Linked DNA regions of Drosophila melanogaster. The protein of the gene in region 1 interacts with the protein of each later gene in a biochemical or structural test. Each region holds a gene or a part of one and is shown in the gene's direction. Other genes may lie near its edges. The genes, in order: Rpn12 and Ubqn.

Region 1 (3,263 bases):
TGTGTTGGAAAGCGCAGGCGAATCACCGCTTAGCAGCACAGGCCGAAACATGAAACTATCGCTAAAAGGTGTACATTCAAACTAAGATGTGATAAAATTTATGAAGTCATTCTGGGTATTATATTATTCTGAAAGCGAACGAAATGGTTAAGAAATATTTAAATTCAGTAAAGCTGAAAAAAGTTTTCATACTTTGTGGCCAACATTCACAATGCAATCAGAATACTTCCAATGTAATTGTATTGTATTTATTGTTTTAATTGAAGTCTTCTTTTTATACTTTCCACTAAAAATACTTTATTGTGAGTGGTGTTGTACCTATCGTCCCCATTAACCGCACGATAGTATCGATACTTATCAGCATGCATCTTTAACACAATAAACAAACAATAAATTGATCGATCCGACCTGAAAGCGAGATCGCTAAATTTTTTAACTCAATTTCGGAGGTATGGAGTTGGGGTTGGTGTGCCGAATTTGCCTCGGGCAATGTGAAAACGAGTTCAATATTTTTGAAGTTAAGCACGGCACTGAAGCTTCAATAGCGTCAATCATTTCCGAGTGCACTGGCCTCAAAGTGGAAAAAGGCGATCATCTACCCGAAACATTTTGCACCTCCTGCTGCCAAGATGCACAAAATGCGTTCGAGTTTAGAAAAACCCACCAGAGGAGCTAATAATTTTACGTTTAGTTAATGGAGGAATCCCGATTCCGCAAGGTATCTTATTCCGAGGATGGGGAATCGAGTATCGATGGAGGTGCTTTTCAGCATTTTGTCGAACTCGAAAGTGTAGTTGAAGATTGGCGAGGCAGTGGCATGATCCAATGGGAATGTTGTCTAGTGTAGAACGAGCCTCTTTAAAGACGATGATCAGTTCGTGGACTGTGACAGCGATCAATCCAATAGCCAAGTCAATATTGAGGTAATAGACGAAGACTATGATAGTTGTGAAAACCATAGATTGCAAAATAAAGGACGTGATAATGATAAGCTGCTTCAATGTCCTCATTGCCCAACGAGGTTTTGGATAAACTCAGCACTTAAGCAGCACTTGCTGCTTAGCAGCAAAGGCTTTGAAGAGCGTATCGCATCTTTCGGGACATATTGCAATACACACTGAAAAACGGTGCCCCCATTGTACATCGAATTTTACGCTGGCTTCCAATCTTAAAAGGCATCTAATAATCAACACAGGCGAACGCCCCTTCAAGTGCTCCCAATGTCCTAAGGCGTTTTACCCAGAATGCGCATCTTCGAATTCACATGATGAGCCACACAGGAGAGCGACCGTTCCCATGCACCAAGTGCTCCAAAAGCTATTTCACGAACACGCAACTGCGGTACCATCTAAAGACCCACAAAGAATGAGAGTTCTGAATCGCTTAATAATTTAAGTTATTCTTGACACAAAACTTATGCCCAAGGTCAAATAGACGTGATTTCAATACCCGAAATTTTTAACTATACTGAGACAATCACTAATTGAATAAACAGTCCGAGCTTAAATGCGAAAATTTAGATTTAAACTCCATTAGATAGTTTGTTAAAATATATCGATATTAAAGCACAAAGGAAATACAATACCCCTTGGATCAAATCATAAAGCTTTCAGTTGTAAACTGTTAAACTATATAGAGTTCGTCTAAAAAATGTATTTTTCAACTTAAACTTACACTTAAATAATATTCCCAGCCCTGTGGTAACTTGACAATCGATAACTGTTCCGATAACGATTGTCCTATCGCTTTACCCTACAACAATTGCCATCTCTAAAAAAAAGCGAAAATCATCTTGGGAATTTGCAGAAAACATTTAAGCTTCAATATACCAATCTAAAGAATGGCCAACGTGGAATCGCTGTACAAAGAACTGACCGCCGAGTGGTCAAAGCGGCCACCAAACACCGTCAAATGCGGCCAGCTGCTGGATCAACTGAAAGTAGCGCTCGTGAAGATGGCCTTCCTGCCGACGGACGGAAACGATGCCCAGAGCTCCAAGAAGCAATTGATCCTGGCTAGGAGCGTGCTTGAGGTGGCCGTGGAGCATAGCGTGCTCAGCAAGGACCTGCTCGCCTTCGAGCGCTACATGGCGCAGCTGAAGTGCTATTACTATGACTACGCTAAGATCATTGGCGAATCGGAGAGCAAGTATAAGCTGCTCGGTCTGAATCTGCTGTACCTCTTGTCTGGCAACCGGGTATCCGACTTTCACACGGAACTGGAGCTGCTCTCCGTGGACGTCATCCAGCACAATCAGTTCATTCGGCCCATCCTGGCGCTCGAGCAGTACATCATGGAGGGACGCTACAACAAGATCTTTCAGGCCAAGTCGACGGTGCCCGTCGAGGTGTATAGCTACTTTATGGATCTTCTGTTGGAAACGGTGCGCGATGAAATTGGTGCCTGCATCGAGAAGTCCTACGACAAGATCTCCGCCAAGGATGCAGCCAAGCGGCTCAACCTGCGCGTCCCCGACGAGATCAAGGCCTTCGGCGCGAAGCGTCAATGGAAACTGGAGGCTAGCGGCGACTACAGCTTCACGGACCGTAGCGTCAAACCCAAGGAGCTCCTGCCCTCCGAGGAACTCGCCGAGCAGGTGCTCAGCTACGCCCGCGACCTCGAGATGATAGTTTAAGTCGCAAAGCAGCCGTTAATAAACGACAGAGTAAGGTTAAGAAAACAGTTCTAACACGCTGGATACCACAATTTTTATAATAATATGTAATTACATTGAAAACAACAAGAAATTAAATTTAAAACTCCTAAGCCAGTAGTATATTATTTCTGCAAACCTAGCAACAGTTTGAAATTAACTTTTCACGGATAATTTTGTAAAAGTACAACTAACAATTTTATACATTTTTCTGTATGAATGTAACTGCCAAGGAAAAACATTTGTTAAATTTTTTCACTTAGTCAAATTATTCAAGATCACGATATTTCGAAAATCCCGTGACTTACCATAAGTCACAGCTGGTACTCGGTGTGACCATTTTGGAGCGCATTGAAAAACTAGGGCTTAGTTGAACCCCGTGCGACGGCCACACTAGCGCGAACGACCGTAAAAATTTTCGCTCTGCGAATATTTGTAAAAAATTGCTTAGAAAGCAAATAGAAGAAATTGTAGCATAATCCACGCCATGGCCTGTAACGCTAGCAAGACGTCGCTCCTGCGCGCCATCGCCGTAAGTCTCGACTTAACCAACAAATAGTTACGGCAGCGATTCTTCCCAGCGGAAGGCTCGTGTTACGTAAAACACCCC
Region 2 (6,643 bases), on another chromosome or scaffold:
GGCGCGCACGCGCACCCGGAGCGTGTAGTTGTAGCCGGCGAAGGGCAGCTCCGTGAGGCAGAGCGTGTCCTTGATGGTCAGCGTGTGGTTTCGCCAGCTGGGCCGCGTGATGGGCTCAAAGTTTTGCGGCGTGACGCGCACCTGCCACACCAGGCCGCGATTGTAGTTGGACCGACGGGGCATCTCCCACGACAGGCACACGGAGCTCTCGGTCCTGTTGAGCAGGGTCAGGTTCTGGCCAGGTCGCGCCGGCACCAGACGCTCAAAGTGATTGATCGTGATCGGCTGCGTCTCGTGGCCCAGGGCATTGGAGATGGACAGTCGGAAGTAGAAGGTCTCGCTGAAGCGCTTGTAGTTGTCGTCGGTTAGGTTACAGGTGACCACTGGCGCCGAGTCGAAGTTGCAGTCCAGTGTGTTGCTATATCGCCAGTCGTTGTTGGTGTTGTAGCTGATGTTGTACTTGGTGATGACCGTGTTGGGCGGCTGGGTGAAGTTGCACACCATAAACTGGAAGTCGTAGTCCAGGCAGTTGAAGTCGCGCACCAGGAGCGGCCTGGTGCCCACGTAGACCTTTGACTTGTTGATCACATACTCGTCGCACATGCAGTGGTAGTCGTTCTCTTGCTCCACGGCATTCGTGTCGCTAAACAGGATGGTGGTGTTGTTCAGGATTCGGATGTGCTTGGAATCGCGGTAGACGCGGCCGCCGCCTGTAAAGTACAGCTTCTCCACCGGGCAGTCCTCGGCGCTCTTGCCGTTAAAGTAGTCTTCGTTGAGGGTGCAGCTCAGATTAAAGTCGCCGCCGATGAGCTGCTCCACCTTGGAGGGAATCACCCAGCCAGGATCCAAGATGGCGTTGGCGCCACCCCGGCAGCCGGCAAGCAGCATGAGCAGCAGGACGAGCTGCTCCTGGGCCACCATCTTCCTGGTCCTGGTTCTGCTCCCAATCCTAATCCTAATCCTAATCCCCTCCTTCCCTTGCTGTTAAGGTTTACTCTGGCTCTCTCTCTCTCTCTCTCCCACTCTGTCTCTCTGTCTTTAGCTCTTTTCCTCTCTTTCTGTCTCTCTCTCGCTCTTACACACGCGCGCACACCAAAACGGCGCTCTCTCACACACACAAGAGCACCTTGCTGTTGGCCTCGCACTTGTTGGCTGTGTATTGGTGGCCAGTTCTCGGAAACCGTTTATACGCTGCGTTCCTGGAAGTGGCTCTTAAACATTTCACTGCCCAGGTGTGGGCTTCTTGTCCGGGGCTTCACTACGACTAAATTACGAATAGGGCTATCAGGGCCTTGCAATGCCAATTGCTCGCTTCGAGCAACTGTGGTACCGTGTTACTGTTTTGTCTCTGGCTCTCTCGCAAATGCAGAATCCTCAGTTGGCTAAGGCGATCGCTCTCCTCCCTGCCCCCGCTCGCGATGCTGACGATATATGTTGTCGACGAGTTGCTTGTCCGCAGTGTGACCGCTTATCGAAAGTTATCGCAGTCCGATATGCGATATCACTGGGGCTACCTGTCGACGAACGGCCCCACTAAATGCGATAGGTGCCAAACATCGCATTTCAGCCGAAATTCGAATTCTAGGCCACCCGTTGCTTGTATCTCTAGAACGCCCTCTGCCGAATACGTTTTCAAGCAGAGCAAACTACTTGGCAGCGGTTTTGGACGCGTTCAAAGCGTTCAATTGGCCGCTATCGATTCATCGATTGGTGGTTGATACGTCAGCCCTGGCGTGTGTAAGAGTCAAAATCGAAATCCATCGTGAGTGTGTGTGTGTCCGTGTGAGTGAGAAAGTGACGAATTACTTTTCATCAAATGGGAAATAATTTAGGGTGAAAACACGTATATATTCGGAACACATTTAAATTACAGACGTGATAACATCTCGAAAGAACCAGCTACATCGGTGCAAATTAAGCTAAACGAGAACACCGCAAATACACCATCGAAATGGCGGAAGGCGGCAGCAAGCGCATCAACGTGGTTGTAAAAACGCCAAAGGACAAGAAAACGGTCGAAGTTGACGAAGATTCTGGAATAAAAGATGTGAGTACGGAGCACGTGACCCGCCTGACTTGGTTGCTGGTACCCCAAACCCTTCTGGACCCTTCCATTCATAGCGATGGACCACCTCCCTCCCTCCCTGCTCTTTGCCCACACCCCCGAAAGTATTGGGAAATTAGTGCCCGTAATCGCGGTACAGTGCACTTTGCCTAAGCCGCACACAACACGCGCAGCTGGTACAGTGCACTTTGCACAGTGATTGGTCTTCTTCCCATTAACACACATAAATTGAAGCAGAGGCATGGGAGCGAACATTTAATTGAAAGGGGAAACTAGACCATGGGCACATAATAATGACAACAATCACACCATTCTCGCCCCACAGTTCAAAATTCTGGTTGCACAAAAGTTCGAGGCGGAGCCCGAGCAGCTCGTGCTCATTTTTGCCGGCAAAATTATGAAGGACACGGACACCCTTCAGATGCACAACATCAAGGACAACCTGACGGTGCATCTGGTGATTAAGGCGCCGACGCGCAACAACGAGCAGCCGGCCCGACAGCCGGCTGACGTGCGCCAAACGCCCTTTGGCCTCAATCAATTCGGTGGCCTGGCCGGAATGGAGGCACTTGGAGCCGGATCGAACACGTTCATGGATCTGCAGGCGCGCATGCAGAACGAGCTGCTCAACAATGGCGACATGCTGCGCTCCCTGATGGACAACCCGATGGTGCAGCAGATGATGAATAATCCGGATACCATGCGTCAGCTTATCACGTCCAATCCGCAAATGCATGACCTGATGCAGCGCAACCCCGAGATCTCGCATATGCTTAACAATCCGGACCTGCTGCGCCAGACGATGGAGCTGGCCCGCAATCCCTCGATGTTGCAGGAGCTGATGCGTTCGCACGACCGCGCCATGTCGAATCTGGAGTCGGTGCCGGGCGGCTATAGCGCCCTGCAGCGCATCTACCGCGATATTCAGGAGCCAATGATGAACGCGGCCACGGAATCCTTTGGTCGCAACCCCTTTGCCGGCCTGGTCGACGGCGGCGGTTCAGGAGCCGGCAACAACCCGCAGCAGGGCACCGAGAACCGCAATCCCCTGCCGAATCCATGGGGCGGTGCCAATTCGGGAACCAATGGAACAGTCGGTGGCTCCGGCGCCGGCAATCCGACGGGGGATCTGCCGCCGAACAATGTGCTCAACACGCCGGCCATGCGAAGCCTGCTCCAGCAGATGGCCGACAATCCAGCCATGATGCAGAACCTGCTGAACGCGCCCTACACGCGTTCCATGATGGAGTCCATGTCACAGGACCCGGACATGGCCGCGCGCTTGCTGAGCAGCAGTCCGCTCATGTCTAACAATCCCGCCCTGCAGGAGCAGGTGCGTCAGATGATGCCGCAGTTTATGGCCCAAATGCAGAACCCCGAGGTGATGAACATGCTGACCAATCCGGATGCAATGAACGCTATCCTGCAGATCCAGCAGGGCATGGAGCAGCTGCGCAGCGCGGCCCCAGGTCTCGTTGGCACCCTGGGCATTCCACCGCCACCACCGGGTGCCGGCACCGGAACGAATCCAGCCAGCGGCGATGGGAGCGGGGGCAACAGCGGTGCCAGCACCAACAATGTTTCGCCAAGCAGCGGCCTCAACGCCGGCACCGGCACTCCAAACCTGGCCCCGGGCGGTGGTCCCAACGCGCAGCTCTTCAACGACTTCATGATGCGCATGCTCAACGGGATGTCGAACAACGCGGACAACACACAGCCGCCGGAGGTGCGCTACCAGTCGCAGCTGGAGCAGCTGAACGCCATGGGCTTTGTCAACCGTGATGCCAACTTGCAGGGTGAGTGTCCTAGTGGGTCTTGGTGGGTCGCCTGCCCTGTGCGATGATTCTAATCCGCTCTCTTGTGTTTGGTTTGCAGCTCTGATCGCTACCTTCGGGGACATCAATGCGGCGGTAGAGCGACTGCTGTCCCTCAACCAGTTGTCCTTGAGTTAACAAGGCTAAGCCATAGCCATAACCAAACTGTACACAACCTGTCTATATATCTACGAACTACAACTACTATATATACCACTACGGCCCTGGAGAACGCGAATGAGAACACGACTAGTTAGGAGGACAGGTCCTAAACCCAAACACACACCCTCCGCCAAAAAATTCCACGGTCAGCGCTGCTGATCGCTTGTTTCCCCATCAAGCCGGAAATGTCAGGAATCCATCATAGCCACATGCCAACATACCAACACCCCCAAGACACAAAAAGATGGCTCCAAACGAGCATAGTTGCCTCGAGATCGGAGAGATACTAGATATAGGTGGGTGATATGAATGACGCCGGTGAGAATGTTAGATAGGGATCGCATACCAAAGTGTTAGCACTTTCGTAGTTGATATCAGATTTTTTTTTTTTTTAAATAATTTACATTTCGTGAGCTCGGAGAATCCTTTAAGCGGAAATGCGTTAGCCGAAAACCAACTTGAATATGCATACTTTGCTCACGTAATGCATAGTTTTGCACGCCCAACAACTTCAATCGAAATACTTAACGCATTTCTTTATCGGAGAACTTCGTTAATTTTCAATAAAGTTAAGCGGGAATGTGCACTTTTGTCATTGATAATGTAATAACTATTTTGTCGCCAACAGATGCGAATTCCAGTTTTGTGTTTAAGAAAAAAGAATCGGTACAGAGATCAGAGGCGTAGTATATATCCTGTGTTCTGGTCAGGCAGTTTAGTTTTAGTCGGGTGCTAGTGGGCGTGGGCTATAGCCGCAGTCCTTCTGACTCCCCCCCCCCTCCATTTCTCGCGATCGGAAAACGTTCTGGAAATTGCAAACAACTGCAAACAGGACAAACGTACAGTAGATATCGGCTATATGCAAAGACGACACTGTCTTGGGGGAATCCTAACATACGCGCGAGTATGCTGTAGTCAATCAAAATGTTTATCGATTCGTTAATATAAGAGCAATCTCCAAGCGTTATTTATCCCACATCCCGTTCAGAGGAATACAAATGTAAAAAGTTGTTGCACACAAGCGATTTGCATGCTAACGATATCTACTGTAAGTTAATGTGTGTATATAGGTATATATATATGTATATACATATATATATATATATCAAAATATTCCAAGGTGTTAACAAAAGACGTAAAACTATAAAACAAAAAAAAAAAAAAAAAAAAAAAACCAACTCCTTAGTAAAGAGAGGAAGCCCCAATAATAACTTGTAATGTAATTTACTCTAAGCTTTCGTATATAAAACCTATAACCGACCATTTGGGTTCCCATTTCCGATCAATCACACACACACACACTTTCGAAAAGCTTTCCTTCGCGCGCTCACCGTTTATATAAGATATGGATTCAGTGTATACCCTGTAAGTGCTACCACCACATAGCCTCGCTCGTCCGCTGTGGGATTGGCTGGTCGGCCGGCTGGCTGGCTGGCCGGCTGGCTGGCTGGCCGGGTTGTTGGTTGGTCAGTTGGGCTAGTGGACTAGTGGAACTACGTTTATTTGTTTAGTGAAGGAAGTGAGGCAAAGTAATTAAATGTAAATGATCACATGTTTGAAAACGTAATAAAGCTACTTTGGTTTTAGATTATAGCCAACCTCGTCTATTACTCTCTACTATCTCATTTACTTCCAAAGGCATCCGAAATAAAGCAGCTCACCCACTCTGGCTTAGTTTTAGTAAGCAGTACTTTCTAATTGCTATTCCAAATCTTTACTGCAGCTTAAACGTTTATAATAACTTATACACTTATAACTTATAACTTATGTCCTCATGCCGACAAGTTAACCAGAGCATCCCAGATCCAGTCCATGTAGAAAGTCACATTGGTGCAGACACTTAGGCCCGCACAGGAGCTCAAGCCGAAGATGATGATGCCAAACTGGAAGGTGCGATACGTGCCCCCGTAGAGAATTTTTGCGCTAAAGGGGCCACCGGAATCCCCTTTGCATGCGTGGCTCGTCTCGGTGTGGACGCATATCTGCGACTCGTCCACCTGCTGCTGGAACTTCAAGGTGCAGAGTTCGCGATCGATACGATCCCCAACGGAATGCTTCAGCACCCGTGGTATGCTGCGAAAGTCTTCTGCAGTGGTGCCCCAGACGGTCAACTGGAATCGGTCGATGGCCGCCACTGGCTCATTGATGAGCAGGCAAATGGGGCGCACGAAGTCTATAGGGGAAAGGCAGTTCTGGTTGAGACTTTCGAGGGCAACGACTGGATATCTCCCACTCAATTACCTGAATACTGCACCGCATGCTGCATCCGGAGTAGGCCAATGTCGTACTGTTGGGCTTGTATTTTGCCGAATCCGGCGTGCACGATCTTCTTGTCGATCCGAACGCAGTATGCGTTTGATAAGCGAGCACCCGAGCTGCAATTTTGTCCAGGATTCCAGGCGTCGAAATCACCCAAGTGCACCTGCCTACAGGGAGAGATTGGGTAATGGGCTGATGACCACCACATATGCTGGCGAATGGGCAGGACTTACATGGCTTCTCTAAATACGCAATGTGCTGCTGTCAAAACAAATCCTGGAATGGTTAAAATTTAGCCTTGCGTGAGCTAAATAAGACACTCATCATTTGGCACAAACACTCA

What was found.
Region 2: the proteins of Rpn12 (region 1) and Ubqn form a complex in vitro, tested with the Drosophila melanogaster proteins (one study listed by BioGRID).

The regions. Positions count from the first base shown.
Region 1 is NT_037436.4:16,581,260-16,584,522, forward strand, and holds Rpn12 (regulatory particle non-ATPase 12), read left to right. Parts: upstream 1-1,768; 5' UTR 1,769-1,840; coding exon 1,841-2,635; 3' UTR 2,636-2,763; downstream 2,764-3,263. Other genes in the region: UQCR-C2 (Ubiquinol-cytochrome c reductase core protein 2), read left to right, coding at 3,141-3,185.
Region 2 is NC_004354.4:19,682,050-19,688,692, forward strand, and holds Ubqn (ubiquilin), read left to right. Parts: upstream 1-1,758; 5' UTR 1,759-1,951; coding exon 1,952-2,047; intron 2,048-2,390; coding exon 2,391-3,861; intron 3,862-3,940; coding exon 3,941-4,017; 3' UTR 4,018-5,609; downstream 5,610-6,643. Other genes in the region: dome (domeless), read right to left, coding at 1-921; CG14227 (uncharacterized protein), read right to left, coding at 5,814-6,214, 6,283-6,467, 6,534-6,576.